Linked DNA regions of Xenopus tropicalis. The protein of the gene in region 1 interacts with the protein of each later gene in a biochemical or structural test. Links are inferred from orthologs where the notes say so. Each region holds a gene or a part of one and is shown on either strand. Other genes may lie near its edges.

Evidence for each region. The genes of interacting proteins can lie anywhere in the genome.
Region 2: the proteins of mis18bp1 (region 1) and mis18a form a complex in vitro, tested with the Homo sapiens proteins (2 studies listed by BioGRID). The link is inferred for Xenopus tropicalis from reciprocal best matches to the Homo sapiens genes MIS18BP1 and MIS18A.

The regions. Positions count from the first base shown.
Region 1 is NC_030684.2:92,708,077-92,714,737, forward strand, and holds the end of mis18bp1 (mis18-binding protein 1), read right to left. Parts: intron 5,295-6,661; coding exon 5,140-5,294; intron 4,196-5,139; coding exon 4,050-4,195; intron 3,959-4,049; coding exon 3,871-3,958; intron 3,067-3,870; coding exon 3,012-3,066; intron 2,902-3,011; coding exon 2,789-2,901; 3' UTR 2,364-2,788; downstream 1-2,363. UniProt on the Homo sapiens protein: Required for recruitment of CENPA to centromeres and normal chromosome segregation during mitosis.
Region 2 is NC_030678.2:15,373,790-15,381,512, reverse strand, and holds the start of mis18a (protein Mis18-alpha), read right to left. Parts: upstream 4,452-7,723; 5' UTR 4,396-4,451; coding exon 4,194-4,395; intron 2,158-4,193; coding exon 2,091-2,157; intron 1,098-2,090; coding exon 975-1,097; intron 1-974. Other genes in the region: mrap (melanocortin-2 receptor accessory protein), read left to right, coding at 6,932-7,112, 7,601-7,697. UniProt on the Homo sapiens protein: Required for recruitment of CENPA to centromeres and normal chromosome segregation during mitosis.

The DNA of each region.
Region 1 (6,661 bases):
GCTTGCCTGGAGCCCCTAGGTGGTGGGCCTTACCACCTATGTACGTAGAATGGGGCCATGATCCACCTACTTGCCCCAAGACTTGCTCCTTGTAGCCCATGAATAAGACCACGGTAGTAGTAGAAAGTGGCCAGTGGTTTGAAAACACCCCCACCTTGATTCTGTAGAGAAATCGTTGTGCTTAATGGATGATAGAAGAGAATAAGCCAGAGATTGTCTTCTCAGGCTATAAAACAATAGCTAGAAATTTAGATAATTAATGACCACTTAACACACCGAATAATCTGCTCTACATGATAGGATGACAGTAGAATGCAATATATTATCACATTTTTTAAAACACAATTGCAAAACTTTTTGGATGAGCGTGTTCCTAAGAATGACCAATAATACTAGAAAATAACATTGTTGCATCAACAACATCATCTGCAATGCTCATTGAAGGGTTAGTGTTAGCGCTAAAGCCATGATTACTGGAAAGTGTTTCCTTATCCGGTTGTAGGGGGGGGGGGGGGGCTAGTGTGTAATTCAACTTGTTCTAAAATGTCATCAATATCATTATCCTTTAGCCAAATAGTCCTTATGTGTAGTGAATATTATAATAAAATCCCCTTTGTTTCCCAAATTGAATGGAGCTGAAATCACAGGAAGCTGGTTAGTACAGGTATAGGACCCATTATCCAGAATGCTCAGGACCAAGGGTATTCCGGATAAGGGGTCTTTCCGTAATTTGGATCTCCATACCTTAAGTCTGCTAAAAATCAGTAAAATATTAACCCCAACAGGATTGTTTTGCATCCAATAAGGATTATTTACATCTAAGTTGGGATCAAGTACAAGGTACTGTTTTATTATTACAGAGAAAAAGGAAATCAGTTTTAAAATTCTGAATTATTTGATTAAAATGGAGTCTATGGGAGATGGGCTTTCCGTAATTAGGAGCTTTCTGGATAATGGGTTTCTGGATAAGGGGTCCAATACCTGTAGCAGGAAGTAAGTTTTTATAAATGGCAATAAAGTGGTGCTAACACCTTTAAAGGAGCAGTGGGTTCCTGACACTGCGGTTCCTCTTGTTCTGTACTTGTAGGGGGACATAGCTCTGGCAGGAGGTATTGCTTTGTTTAGGTAGCACTTTTTCCTTTAAAGGGGAACTAACCCAAAATTGAAAATATAAGCTTCAGCTCACTTGAAATAAGCTTTCTAAATATAATGCTTTAAAATGCTGTACTATTGCTGTAATAATCTTCCCTAGATTCCATTCTGTATCTGTCTCTCTTCATGCAGAAGTCAGAGCCAGACTTTTCTCTAATACATCTGGTAGAAGAAATGATTCCCCCCCCCAAAAAGCTGCATTAGACCTAAATGTCAATTAAAATCTGACCCTGACTCCTGCATGAAGAAAAGCAGATTGCCGAGAGGGAGATAATGAATATATCAGGAATAGCAACATTTTTGATTATATTTCAAAAGTTTATTTTCATGAGATGAACCTTATATTAAGTTTACATAATATAGTTTACCTTTAGTTTCTGCACTTAATAAGGTGTTGTAACCTGTTGAAACTTATTCATTGTTTACAAACCATGGGTACGTGTAAATTAGCAATCCGCATGGATGGGCAAATACCATTGATCTATTGCTATTGAAGATATCACACAGCACTTGGCAGACTGTTCTCAGCAAGTTTTTAGGAATGCACCATGGCGCCTCCATACTGTCACAGCCTAAAAGTGGCAGTTGCCCCTGAATGCTGACACTTTTACTAAACTTTCAGCATTTATGACCTTTCCCACCGAGACCCACAAGCTGGACTAGGATAAGTATATATAGTGACGCCCTTGGGTGCTCAGTTGAGGTTCCCATGGTAGGTGACCCACCACAAAGCCTTTGTTTGACAACTGTGGAAATGTTAGTGTGTTTAGAACTCAGCAGATGCATCACTCGACTCAAAATTGGTGCATGTTTTTAACTCAATGCTATAATTCATTTAGAATCTACTTTAATAAGGCCATCATTCTGCACGTTACACAGTGTTGAATGAAATTTTACCCAGTGAAACTAGACATAACTGTTCAGGTAGTTTGCATTTGAATCTGACCTGCATGCTTGTTATTTTTCAATTCCTGACTTGGTGGCAAGTTTTGGTTGAATAAAAACAAGATTTACTACCAAATAAAGCCCCCTGTAAGCTGATAGTGTGCATAGAGGCTGCCTAATAGCCAATCTTAGCCCTTATTTGGCACCTCCATGAACTTTTATGATGCTTGTGTTGCTCTGCAAGTCTTTTTACATTTGACTGTGGCTCAAGAGTAAGAAAGGTTGGGGACCCCTGATATTATGGGATAACCTTAACCAACAGTATATATGAATAAATAAAATACACTTTTATTTAAAAAAGGGAAAAAAAAAAAACAGAAGCTTAAAGAAATTGCTGATATGTGCATAGATAAATATATTTAGACAAAAGGTGCAGGAAACTGGGGATTAAGGGTAAGTAAAACAATGAACAAATGACTATGCACACTTTAAAATGTATAATTTTTTTTTTATATACAGGGAACAGAAGTTCATTCCATAGCTGCCAATTTATTCAACAATTATTCCTAAAACATACACTGTTAGATAAATCCCAGCTGAACATTTTACATGTGTACAATGGTTGCTGCTTTTAAAAGGATAGAACATTTTTTTGTAGCTACTGAAATCAACAGTGTTCCAGTAGGCAGGATCAGCAATAAAATGCAGTTTGTTCCTGACAAGAAAAGTAGGGTTCAAATTGTCACTGTGCCTATGGAGAGTTAGAAAAATAAAAGTCGTCCTCTTCATCATCATCATCTGATACTGTTGGTTCATCTGTTCTAAAGAGTTTTCCAATGACTGATGTATCTTTGCAGCCTTTGTCTGATAGGGACAAAAATAAGCACATAATCATGAAGCATAAACACAGCCTTATTAACACACTGTGCACCCTAGGATGAATCTCTGCACCAATATAACAAATCTTTACGTACCTTTGCTCACTGTTGTTGCCCGTCGAGAAACTGGAGTGGCATATGAAGTACCAGCCTGAATATGGGGAAAAATGTAAAGTTTAGATCAGGGATCCCCAACCTTTTTTTACCTATGAGCCACATTCAAATGTAAAAAGAGTTGGAGAGCAACGCAAGCATGAAACATGTTCCTGGGGTTACAAATAGGGGTTCTGATTAGCCATTGGCAGCCTACATAAGGCTCTGTTTGGCAGTACAACTATGCAACCAAGACTTGCCCAAAAGCCAGGAATTCAAAAATAAGCACCTGTTTTGAGCAACATCCAAGGGACTGGTGAGCAACATGTTGCTCTCGAGCCACTGGTTTAGATTAAATAAAAAGTATTGCTAACCTCGCTCCTTGGTCTTGCACTCCTAAAAAATGCACGGCCTAAGGTAAGTTCTGCAGAGTTCAGAGACACTATTTTATCTATTATTCCCAGGGAAAGCCTGTGCCATGCTTGGCAGCACATGAGCAATACAAAGCCTTTTTAGCAACTTCTGTACCGCGCACACCTTCGTTCAACATGTGGAATCTCTAGAAAGAAGAACTGAAACAGGTGTCATTGTGTTCTAATAGGTCTAGAGACCAGGGGTATGCATGCACTTTTTATTATGCCAACAAGTGAGGATAATTTTCCCACACCAGACATGCCGGTTTGTGATATACTCCTAGTAATGATGTCTGTGCCACCTACATCCCCCAAACACATTTCATGCTAATGATAGGTCCAAAGGGGGCCAGCACCACAGGCTTACCGTACCTTAAGTGTGGGAGGCAGAACATTTATCATCTCACCCAGAAGAACACTAAAACTTAAGGGAACATGTAAACACTTACAGGTCTTTTATTTAATTTTCCCCATCCTGATAATGCACCTCCTTTGGTGTTTTTCTGCATTCTGTACACATATTTGTCATTGTTTGACCTGTATAAAGAACACAAAACATGAGAAAATGATTCAGTGGTTTGGGAGAGTGTGAATCTCATGTGAAGGTAGATGGAATCTAAAAGCTTACCTGTTTATGGACCCCAGCATTCCTGGGCTAATGTGCTCACACTGGGGGGTGTAAGCCAAGGGAAAAATACTTGAAGAAGGTGTTGTTGGGTCAGTGTTGGTCAGCTGGAAGACATCGTCTTCATGACTTGCTCTAAATGTTGGCAACTGTGTGTAAAAAGTACATAATGCAGAGTCAGCAATAGATGATTTATGGGAAGAACATTTCTTGTTGCTGAACTATATCTTTGGTAATCAAATGCTGCATAGGCTGCGGCATCACAAGTTATAGAGCGTGGGGACTTAAGGGGAAAAAAATGTGTTTTCTAGTACAGGTATGGGATCCCTTATGCGGAAACCAGTTATCCAGAAAGCTCTGAATTACGGAAAGCCCGTCTCCCATAGACTCCATTTTAATCAAATAATTCAGAATTTTAAAACTGATTTCCTTTTTCTATGTAATAATAAAACAGAACCTTGTAATTGATCCCAACTAAGATATAAATAATCCTTATTGGATGCAAAACAATCCTATTGGGTTTAATTAATGTTTTATTGATTTTTTAGTAGACTTAAGGTATGAAGATCCAAATTATGGAAAGACCCCATATCCGGAATACCCTTGGTCCCGAGCATTCTGGATAATGGGTCCTATACCTGTACTTACAAAAGTTTGCAAGAACCTGCAGCCCTGTCATTTTGATAGCAATGCTTCAAATGGTTGGAAGCAGATCACTGGCAGTAATAAAGTGTTTACAATAAGATTTTTTTCAAAATAAATAAATAAAAAGCCCAGCACCTAAAACCTGCTGAGCTTTTTATTTTATTTTTTTTAAAAATCTGCTCGGGGGAAGAAAAAAATGATCATCAGGCAGCTGAGATATTTGAATACATAAACTACACGTGTTCAGGAACTCGCATGTGGTTACAGTAATTGATTGCTTGAACATTAATAAATCTACCCTAAATAAGCACAACAATGCTGCTTTGTTATTGTAGTCCATCAATCTTTCTACAATCAGAGTCTGTACAATCAATAACTTACTAAGTGCCATTGTCCTTTGACCTGTTATAAGGAATAAGGCTAATTAGCAAAAGTGTGTTTCCCTTACCTTCACTCTCTTGGTCTGGAATGGTGTAGCAGTGAAAATGTCATCATGGTCATCCTTTGGAATTTGTTCCAGAAATTCTCTCATTTGCTGCTTCCTTTTGAGAGTTCCCACCTTGGCTGTTATTTTCACTAGCTTCTCCTCTGAGCCACTCCCTGCTACAGACAAAAGGCATCTTAAAGTGACTGAATGCTAAGTACCAGGCTGAGTGCCTACTGGGTAGGCAATGGGTATGGCTAAAATAGGCAATTCCACTAATTAGAAGGGGGGTCCAGATACTGACAAACCTTACAAAGCTTTCTCATGACTAGTAAACCAAACCAGATTATTGTTCTACTGGCCTATTCCTACTGCCTACTCAGACTGTAAGCTCTACGGGGCAGGGACCTCCTTCCTACTGTGTCTCATACCACATGGCACTTTATATATATATATATATATATATATATATATATATATATATATATATATATATATATATATATATATATTTATTGTATTTATTTATTATATCATTTGTCCTCCCCGTGTGTAATTTTGTATTCTGTAAGACTGTACAGCGATGCGTATCCTTGTGGCACTTTATAAATAGTTATACATACATACTGCCTTCAGATAGAAGAAACTGCACACTGCCCTCTACTGGACGTTGCACAGAAATTACTTGACAAAAAATTATTAGCACAAACTATATTTTATTAAACCATGGTGGGCTTTGTCTATGACTATTTTTTTTTTTATATTGTTTAATCATTTCTTTATATGCTATATTTTGCAAAGCAAGTGCATCGGTGCATGTTTATAAGTTCAATGAGAGCTCACCACAGTCCGTCATAGGGAAATTTACTGCTCTCTATTATGGAATATTTAAAGTAAAGTTGGCCATACACTGAAAGATTCACCTTGAGGTGGGCCATACTGGATTGATCTGATCGATCAGCCCTCAGGCCAAATGATTAGATCACAATGATGGGATGAAGGCCATCAGGGCGAGGACTGCATCAATGAGCAAATGTGCCCCTGCCCCAACAGGATTATTAAACCTGTCTGATGAACATCTGCCCAATCTTCAGCTGGATATCGGTCAGACAGGCCCATCTGACGGTCCCATACATGGGCTGATAAACTGCCAACTCTGTCTGTTGGCAGCTTTTATAAGTAAGATTAAGAGTTCACTATTTGATAAAAACACCTCAAAAATCCCTTTGAAATTAAGTGTGTGAAGAACTATGGCAAGACAGTTTTACTCTTTGATAAAATATACCCCAAATATGTCAAAGTCAGACCCAAAGAACAGAAAAGGATAAACAAAAACCTGCTTTCAACTTGACTACATTTACAAATCAGTTTACCATGAAAAATCTAAATTAATGCATATTTTTGGTTTTTGATTAGACAAAAATCATCTATTCTGCAGACGACTTCTTAAGTATTCTAGTATACCCAGACAGCTACCTTGAATTATGGGTGTGCAATACAATACAATACATGATATCTCTTTAATTATATGCAATATATACATATA
Region 2 (7,723 bases), on another chromosome or scaffold:
TTCTATTAATACTGAGAAAGCCTAGGCTGCAATTAGCAAGGAGTAATTATAAGTAATTTTATTCTCAGCTCTCCCAGCTTCATTTACTTAAAGGGGTTGGTACCCCTCACAACAATAAGTAAACGTATGTGTTCTCGCCCATATTAAGAGGAGAATGGTGAGAAAAGTAAATCTATCGATTCCTATGTTTGTATAATATAGGAGAGATTTGGGGTGAACACTTAAATGACGGTTACCCCAACATTTTCCTATACCTGTAACCTTGTTATGAGCTAAGGGGTGGGAGCACTTAAAGGGAACTTGACCAAAAAGTCTGTAAACCCCTGCTTAGTACTATGTGTGCTTTGTACAGTGTCATCCCCATTAAAGGGGAACTGCACCCAAACACAACCTAAACTTTTGAAAAGTAAACAATTTCAAGCAACTTTGCAATATAAATTAATTACAAAATATAGATTGTAAGCTCTACGGGGCAGGGACCTCCATCCTCTTGTGTCTTTGACTCTTAACTTATTGCAACTATATCTTTTATTTATTTGTATTTATTGTTATACTTTGTATTTATCTATTATTATCTTATTAACCCCCTGTTTGTATGAATGTATCCTACTGTACAGCGCTGCGTATATAAGTAGCACTTTATAAATAAAAATATACATACATACAAATACGCAGCCTTTTCATGATGTTTAATGTAATAATATGGTTTGGAGCAGTTCCCTAAGCCCCGCCCCCTGTTCCCCTGCTGATCTGGCTGACTACTTTGTGACTCAAATAAAATGTAACAGTAGTCGCCTGTCCCTCAGCCTGCCTTCAGCCTGCCTCCTCCCAATCCCACAATCCCCTGCACACGTGATGTCAATAAGGAAAGGAACATCACAGTGCAATGCATTGTGGGTTATGTAGTTCCTGCATGCTGTCTGTAAGCTGTGGAGAAGGTACCATTACCTTGCCCTTACATGAGAGTCTCTTACCTGTCAACGGCATCGATATTAAGGGAGAACAAATCCCGTTTGAAGTCGAGGTGCTTGGGGGTGCATCTGTAGATCTTGCCCATGACAGAGGAGCAGCCGCCACAGGATACGGTTTCAAATGTACTAAGAGGATGAAAGCCCGGCATTAGCGTCTAAAACTGCTAAAACCTCTGAAACCACTACAAATAGAAAATGACTGAAATGAACAGAGGCGCAATCTGAGTAAATTTACATTCATTTATTTGTTGGGGTTTAGACCCCCTTTAAAGTGAAACTGATAATTAGCAGGATCTGTGTCCAGAACTTTTTTTGGCGAAGGTCAATCTGGATTCCGATAGCTTTCAGGCCTCCTACTCCTTCAGTGTGGAACATACATAGTGCTTAACCCCACAATCAAGATGGTTTGAGCCTCAGGGATCATGGGCAGGGAGAGAAAGTTCATATGGGGGTTCTGCACCCCTTCAGTTACCCCAAAAACATCATGTCTGTCTGCCTGTCGCTGAACACTGACGGACATCTGCTTCCTATTTCCTCTGTTATTCCCTGCGGGATGTATTGTTTACAAACACTGAAGCCCATGTAATTATCAGCTCAGGGGTAAGTGGGTTGGCCAAAGCCAGGGGCATTAGGAGGCAGGAAGGCAGCCATATCTAATACAATAAGGAGAAGACATCCAAGTACTGAAGTGATTTTCTAGCTGGGACTTCAGCACCTTAAGAGACTAGGGACAAAGTGTTTCAGTCATGCTGCAGGGCAATAGGATTTACGGATTTAACACACTGTAATGTCAGTGTCAGAATTGGCCTCTAACAAGTGTTGGGCGTAGGGAACGGAGGCAGATCCTGGGTAACATATCCATTAATCATAAAGAACTGCCCCAGAGTGGGCATCGCAGGAGGGGTAATTCACATGGCTAAATGAATAAAGGGAATGGATATAAGACATGTAAAGCCAACAATAATGGCTGATAATGAGAAGCAGGAGCCATAACAACAGGTATAAATGCTCCATCATTAGGTGGAGTCGCAACCTGATAGGCCCTACAGCCAATCAAAATCTGAATAGCCCTGCTTGGTTTCCATGGGGATGGGAATGCCACTAGAACAACATACTTACCAGCCATAGTCACTGGAAACCTTCGAGACGATCTGCACTTTATCCACCGAAACGTATTCAGATACAGCTGCAAGAGAACCACATGCCGATCAATTCAGTTTTTAAAAATAAGGAAAGAAAAATCAAAAGTCCCAATAGACCTTTAACAGGACATGATGCTGGTCACATGGTACACTCAGCGGTCGTTAAAGGGGACATACTGCGTGGAAAACAATATTGTGCCAATGAATTGTACTCATTAACTATAGAAGGAATGTACTTTAAAAAGTAGTGTTTCAAGTTGATTTACTAAAAATTTCTTTAAAAACCCCATTAGTCCCGCCCATCTGTTCCTCTGCTGCCTCCTTTCCCAGGCTGTGCGGGGGGGCCGGCAGCTCTCAGTACACTGCAGGACAGGAACCAATCAGCAGCCAGGCTGACCTGATAGGGAACTGAAGCCTGTCTTTGCTTTAAAGGAACAGTAACACCAAAAAATGAAAGTGTATAAAAGTAACTAAAATGTAATGTGCTGCTGCCCTGCACTGGTAAAAGTTGTGTGTTTACTTCAGAAAGTCTATAATTTATATAAATAAGCTGCTATGTAGCCATGGGGGCAGCCATTCAAAGGAGAAAAGGCACAGGCACATAGCAGATAACAGATAAAACACTATTGTATTCTACAGAGCTTATCTGTTATCTGCTATGTAACCTGTGCCTTTTCTCCTTTTTTCCAGCTTGAATGGCTGCCCCCGGGGCTACACAGCAGCTTATTATATAAATTATAGTAGTGTTACTGTAGCAAACACACCAGTTTTACCAGTGCAGGGCAACAGTGCATTATATTTTTATTACTTTAAAGCTCTTTCATTTTTTGGTGTTACTGTTCCTTTAATCCTATATGTCTCCTTTAAATTGCATACCCACATGGAGCCCCTCTAAGATCAGATGCAGCCCCTAGATTTTACAGACGCCACCCTGGAGTGTTTGAGTGCTCCCTGCAGATTGTATAGACACAAATAATTCTGTACACATGTATAGTGTCAACTAATGAACCCTCACACCTTCAATTACACATCAGCACAATATTGTCTGAGAAGTGCAAAGCTTTAATCCTTTTCTATTCTCTGCACTGCTTGCCTGACTACAGAAACAATGTAGCACAGGGGTCGGGAACCTTTTTGGCTGAGAGAGCCATAAACACCACGTTTTAAAATGTAATTCCGTGAGAGCCATACAATATGTTTAACCGCGGATGCTGCGGGGAAAGGTAGGGTGGATCCCAAGGATGCCGGATGCGGTGCAGAGGAGGGCGTGGCCTGCGCTCGGCGAATAGAAGACGTGTTCTAAGGCTTAGAATACTCTTCTACCTGCCGAGTGCAGGGGCAAGGTAGGGTGGGTGCAAAGGATGCCGGATGCAAAGCGGAGGAGGACATGGCCTACGCTTGGCGGATAGAAGACGCGTTCTAAGCCTTAGAACACGTCTTCTATCCGCCGAGCGCAGGCCACACCCTCCGTTATTTTTTTATTAAAGATTTGGCAGCGAGAGTCAGATGCAGCCATCAAAAGAGCCACATCTGGCTCCCGAGCCATAGGATCCCTACCCCTGCTGTAGCAGAACCATCTCTCCTCCAGCCAAAAGTTCCCATAATGCCTTGCATGCTTCTGAGCTCACCCTCTCCAGTCTGCTAATGGCAGAATATACAAGGCAATTTTGCAACAGGAGGCCGGGATGGAGGAGAGCTGACTAACCATATAAAACTCCAAAAAGCCAGCAGTCAGGACAAGCGTATTTTAGCCACTTGCTTTACAGCAATAAATAACTTTAAAATCATTAACATTGTCATTTAATGTGCAGGTAGGCAACTCCTATAATGAACTCTCTGCAATGCTTAGTAGGGCGTTAAAATGTCAAATATTAAATTAAATGTGTGGTCAAAAGAAAGAAACAAAGTGGGGTACTTGGTGACTTTCTGCTGCTGCTGCAGGTCTAGTATTAGGGACACTAATAGAACATGGTAGCACAGCGACGCCTAGTGGCAGAGCGCTAACACTGCACACAATAGAAACAGCAGAACCAGTAACCCCGCATAATAAAAACCAAGGTCCATTTTCCCCATTCAGCACCTTTCAGTAGTATTGTCTGCTCCCCCATGTCGCTGCCCATCCAGCTGTACGTGTCACCTATCGGCCTCTTGCAATGGCTGCAAAGAAACACGACCGGCGGATCATCCTGTGAATTAGATAGCTTCCCCGCGTTTTCATTTTCTCCCCCATAGGTACAATTGGCGGACATTAGGCTCGCATTCTTATCTGCCGCCATTTCCATTCAAGCGCAAACCGGAAATGACGTAGCGCACCGAGCAGCGCTCTGATTGGATAGTCTCCTGGAGTTGCCCGGACGTTTACGTTTCTTTATGGTGTTTGATAAAAAATACCCACAAAGACCAACCCATAGATATTGTGTGATGATTAAAGATTCCCTCATACAAAAGTTTTCCAAGAAAATGACCATTGTACCTATGCACTGTTATGTACCTCTTCAATAAACTTACCTGAGTAAAAAAAAAAAGATTCCCTCATGTTGTTGGGAGTATATTTATGGGGAACTTTTTATTTCTAAATGACACTGTTTACATAGCAAATAATTCCCTCTGCCATTTAAACTTTTATTCTTGAACCAACAAATGTATTTGTAGCTGTAATATTGGTGTGTAGGCGCCATCTCAGTGCCTTGTGCCTGAGTCTGAGCTTTCAGCCAGCGCTACACATTAGAACTGCTTTCAGCTAACCTATTGTTTCTCCTACTCCCATGTAACTGGAGGAGTCCCAAGCCGGACTTGGATTTCTTACTATTGAGTGCTATTCTGATACCTACTGGGAGCTGCTATCTTGCTCCCTTCCCATTGTTCTGCTGATCGCCTGCTGGAAGGGGAGGGGGGGGATATCACTCCAACTTGCAGCACAACCGTAAAGTGTGACTGAAGTTTATCAGAGCACAGGTCACATGGCTGTGGTACCCTGGGAAATGAAGAGTATGGCTAGCCCCATGGGAAATTTCAAAATTAAATATAAAAAATCTGTTTGTGTTTTTAAAAAACAGATTACAATGCAGGATTCTACTGGAGAAGCTCTATTAACTGATGGGTTTTGAAAAAAAATATATTTTCCCATTACAGTATTCCTTTAAAGCGTCCCACATCCATATTGGGAGTGACAAGCTGACAAGCTTTACCTAGGGTTGCAACCTGGCCTGTAAAAATGATGCTTGATGCCAATATTATTAATAGGCAAAAAGAGCAAATACAGTATATAGGAAGGTCAGTATTTTTTCCAGAAAAAAATTACAACTTTAGGTTTACCTTTTGAAGCCACTTCTGTCTCATTGGTCCCCCAGGTTGTCGATCAGGATGGGTGACACCTGCGATCTTGAGCTAGGGTTGTCACCTGGCTTGTATTTTACCAGTATAGCCGGTAAAACACCCGGCAAGGCCGGGAACAGTGCATTGCCGGTAAATGTGTAATATCTCTACATTTAGCCCCTGTGCCACCCACCTAAGCTTGTGACCCAAACCAACCTTTTGTCACCCCCCCCACTCTACTTTTAAACCACCTGTCGTTATCATAGCTCTGCCCCTTTTGACAGCATCCATATCCCTTGTCATGCTCCATTTACATCATGGCCCGTCCCATTTTGTCCCCACTCCCAGCCACCCATATTGCGTTCCACCTGCGTTGGGCACTTACATGCACCTGTGTTAATACAGCCCCATTAGAAAGAATGGGATGCAGGCCCGGACTGGCAATCTGTGGATTCTGGCAAATGCCAGAGGGGCTGCTGTAAGATGCCATAGACAGTCACTATTTAGTGGGGGGGGGGGGGGCCTGTTTGGGCCTCTGTGTACCTAAAATGCCAGGGCCTATTCTGAATCCCAGTCCAGTGGTGATGGGATGCGTCTCTTCCTGCACTCTCCTGCATTGGAACACATGAGAATGCCATAACAGGAACAAATACTCATGAGTAGGAGCCCTAAAAGGGCTTCAAAATAGATATAAACTGCTCTTACAGCCAAATAGGTGCCTCTTTTCTTAAGGCCAGGGCAGTAATAACCAAGGGTAACTTGAGAACAGAAACCAGGGAGGCTGCATGGGGTATTCTGCAGACACAAAATGCTTTCCTGCTGGCCTGGGCCTGTAAAATACAGGCAACCCTTGTGTTCACTAGGGTTTTTTAAGTGATTTTCTACAAATAATGGGTGGAATGGCCTGAAACCTGTAGGTTTTGACCAAAAATCTGGTGCATGTTTGGGCAAGTGATAGGCAGATTTACAGCAGGGTCTCTCCCAGTTTGCAATATATATACCAACCCCTGTCTCCATGCAGTTCATTGGGTCAGACACAGTTACTAAAATGGTCTCTAGGAGCAGATTGGGTGTGCCACGTGGCAAGCAGCACATTGGAATTACCAATTCACCCATCACTATCTTCCAAGCCTCTTCTATACCATTCTCCTCTCTGTGATGCTTTAAGTTGATTTGAGTTTGAATAGATTAAATCCCAGCCCTTTTTGTCAGATTTTGACAAATCTTTCGCTCTCAGCCGAACACTTAACCTTGGGTAAGTTCAAAACTCAATCTTTTTAGACTAAAAAGATATATTGTTTCCCTTTTTTATTGTTTCTTCTGCTAGGCATTTGTAGCGCACCCAGTCCTTCAATGAGCTAAGCTTGCATGTTTTCTTTAGATCCTTATCTATTCATACTGGGGGCCTGGGGCAGAGCCAATAAGCAGCCAGAAGTAAGGGGACGGATTGCTATACTCTGGTGATAAAATAAAAAACAGCTTATTCAGCTTGTGCTTATCCAGATGATAGGAGCTGCTAAGCCGTCACTCATACTCACTTGCACCCAGCTGGTAATATCTGGCACTAGCTCTGCTCACAATGCAATGATGGCCGACACCGGTAACGTTTCCTACACCTACGAAGACTACTACGATTATGAGGATTTCGCATCTTTCGATGAAAGTGAACCGAGAGCAAATAAATGTGAGTATGTGCCGTCTCCCCCTTAGGCTATTGCTATTTCTCTTATTTATGTTTCAACTAAAGAGACACAATAATTTCAAAAAGTGTTGTGTATTTGTGCCCGAAACATTGTGTAATAAGGTACAGCAGTTGTCTCTTACTTTATGGCTGAGATTCCTGCTATATTTGTAAAGGCATTCTGAATACAGAGGTCCAAGATTTTCATCAGTGCAGAGCAAAGCACAAGGGGGGGTGTAGGTGCTCCTAGAATGAGCACTAAGGGGTGCGCTTTTGTGTCCCTCCCCCCAGGTTGTACATGACCCCTATACAGGTTATACAGGCACTGCGACCCACCACACACCCAAAAACGGAACCAGCCATGACCCCAAATGGGAACATAATTGTAGGCTGTTCTAGAGCTAAGAAGCAGGATATTGTTGGTCAAGTTTCAGTTTGTTCTTATAGTGAAAACAAAGGTCCAACTGTGTCTTTATTTATCTCAATTCCAGATTCCATTGTCATTGCACTTTGGGTCGGCCTTGCAATGTTTGTTGTTTTTCTGTTCCTTATACTGCTGTACATGTCCAGGACTGTCGCCAGATCAAAGTAAGTAGCTATTAAAGGGTAACTGT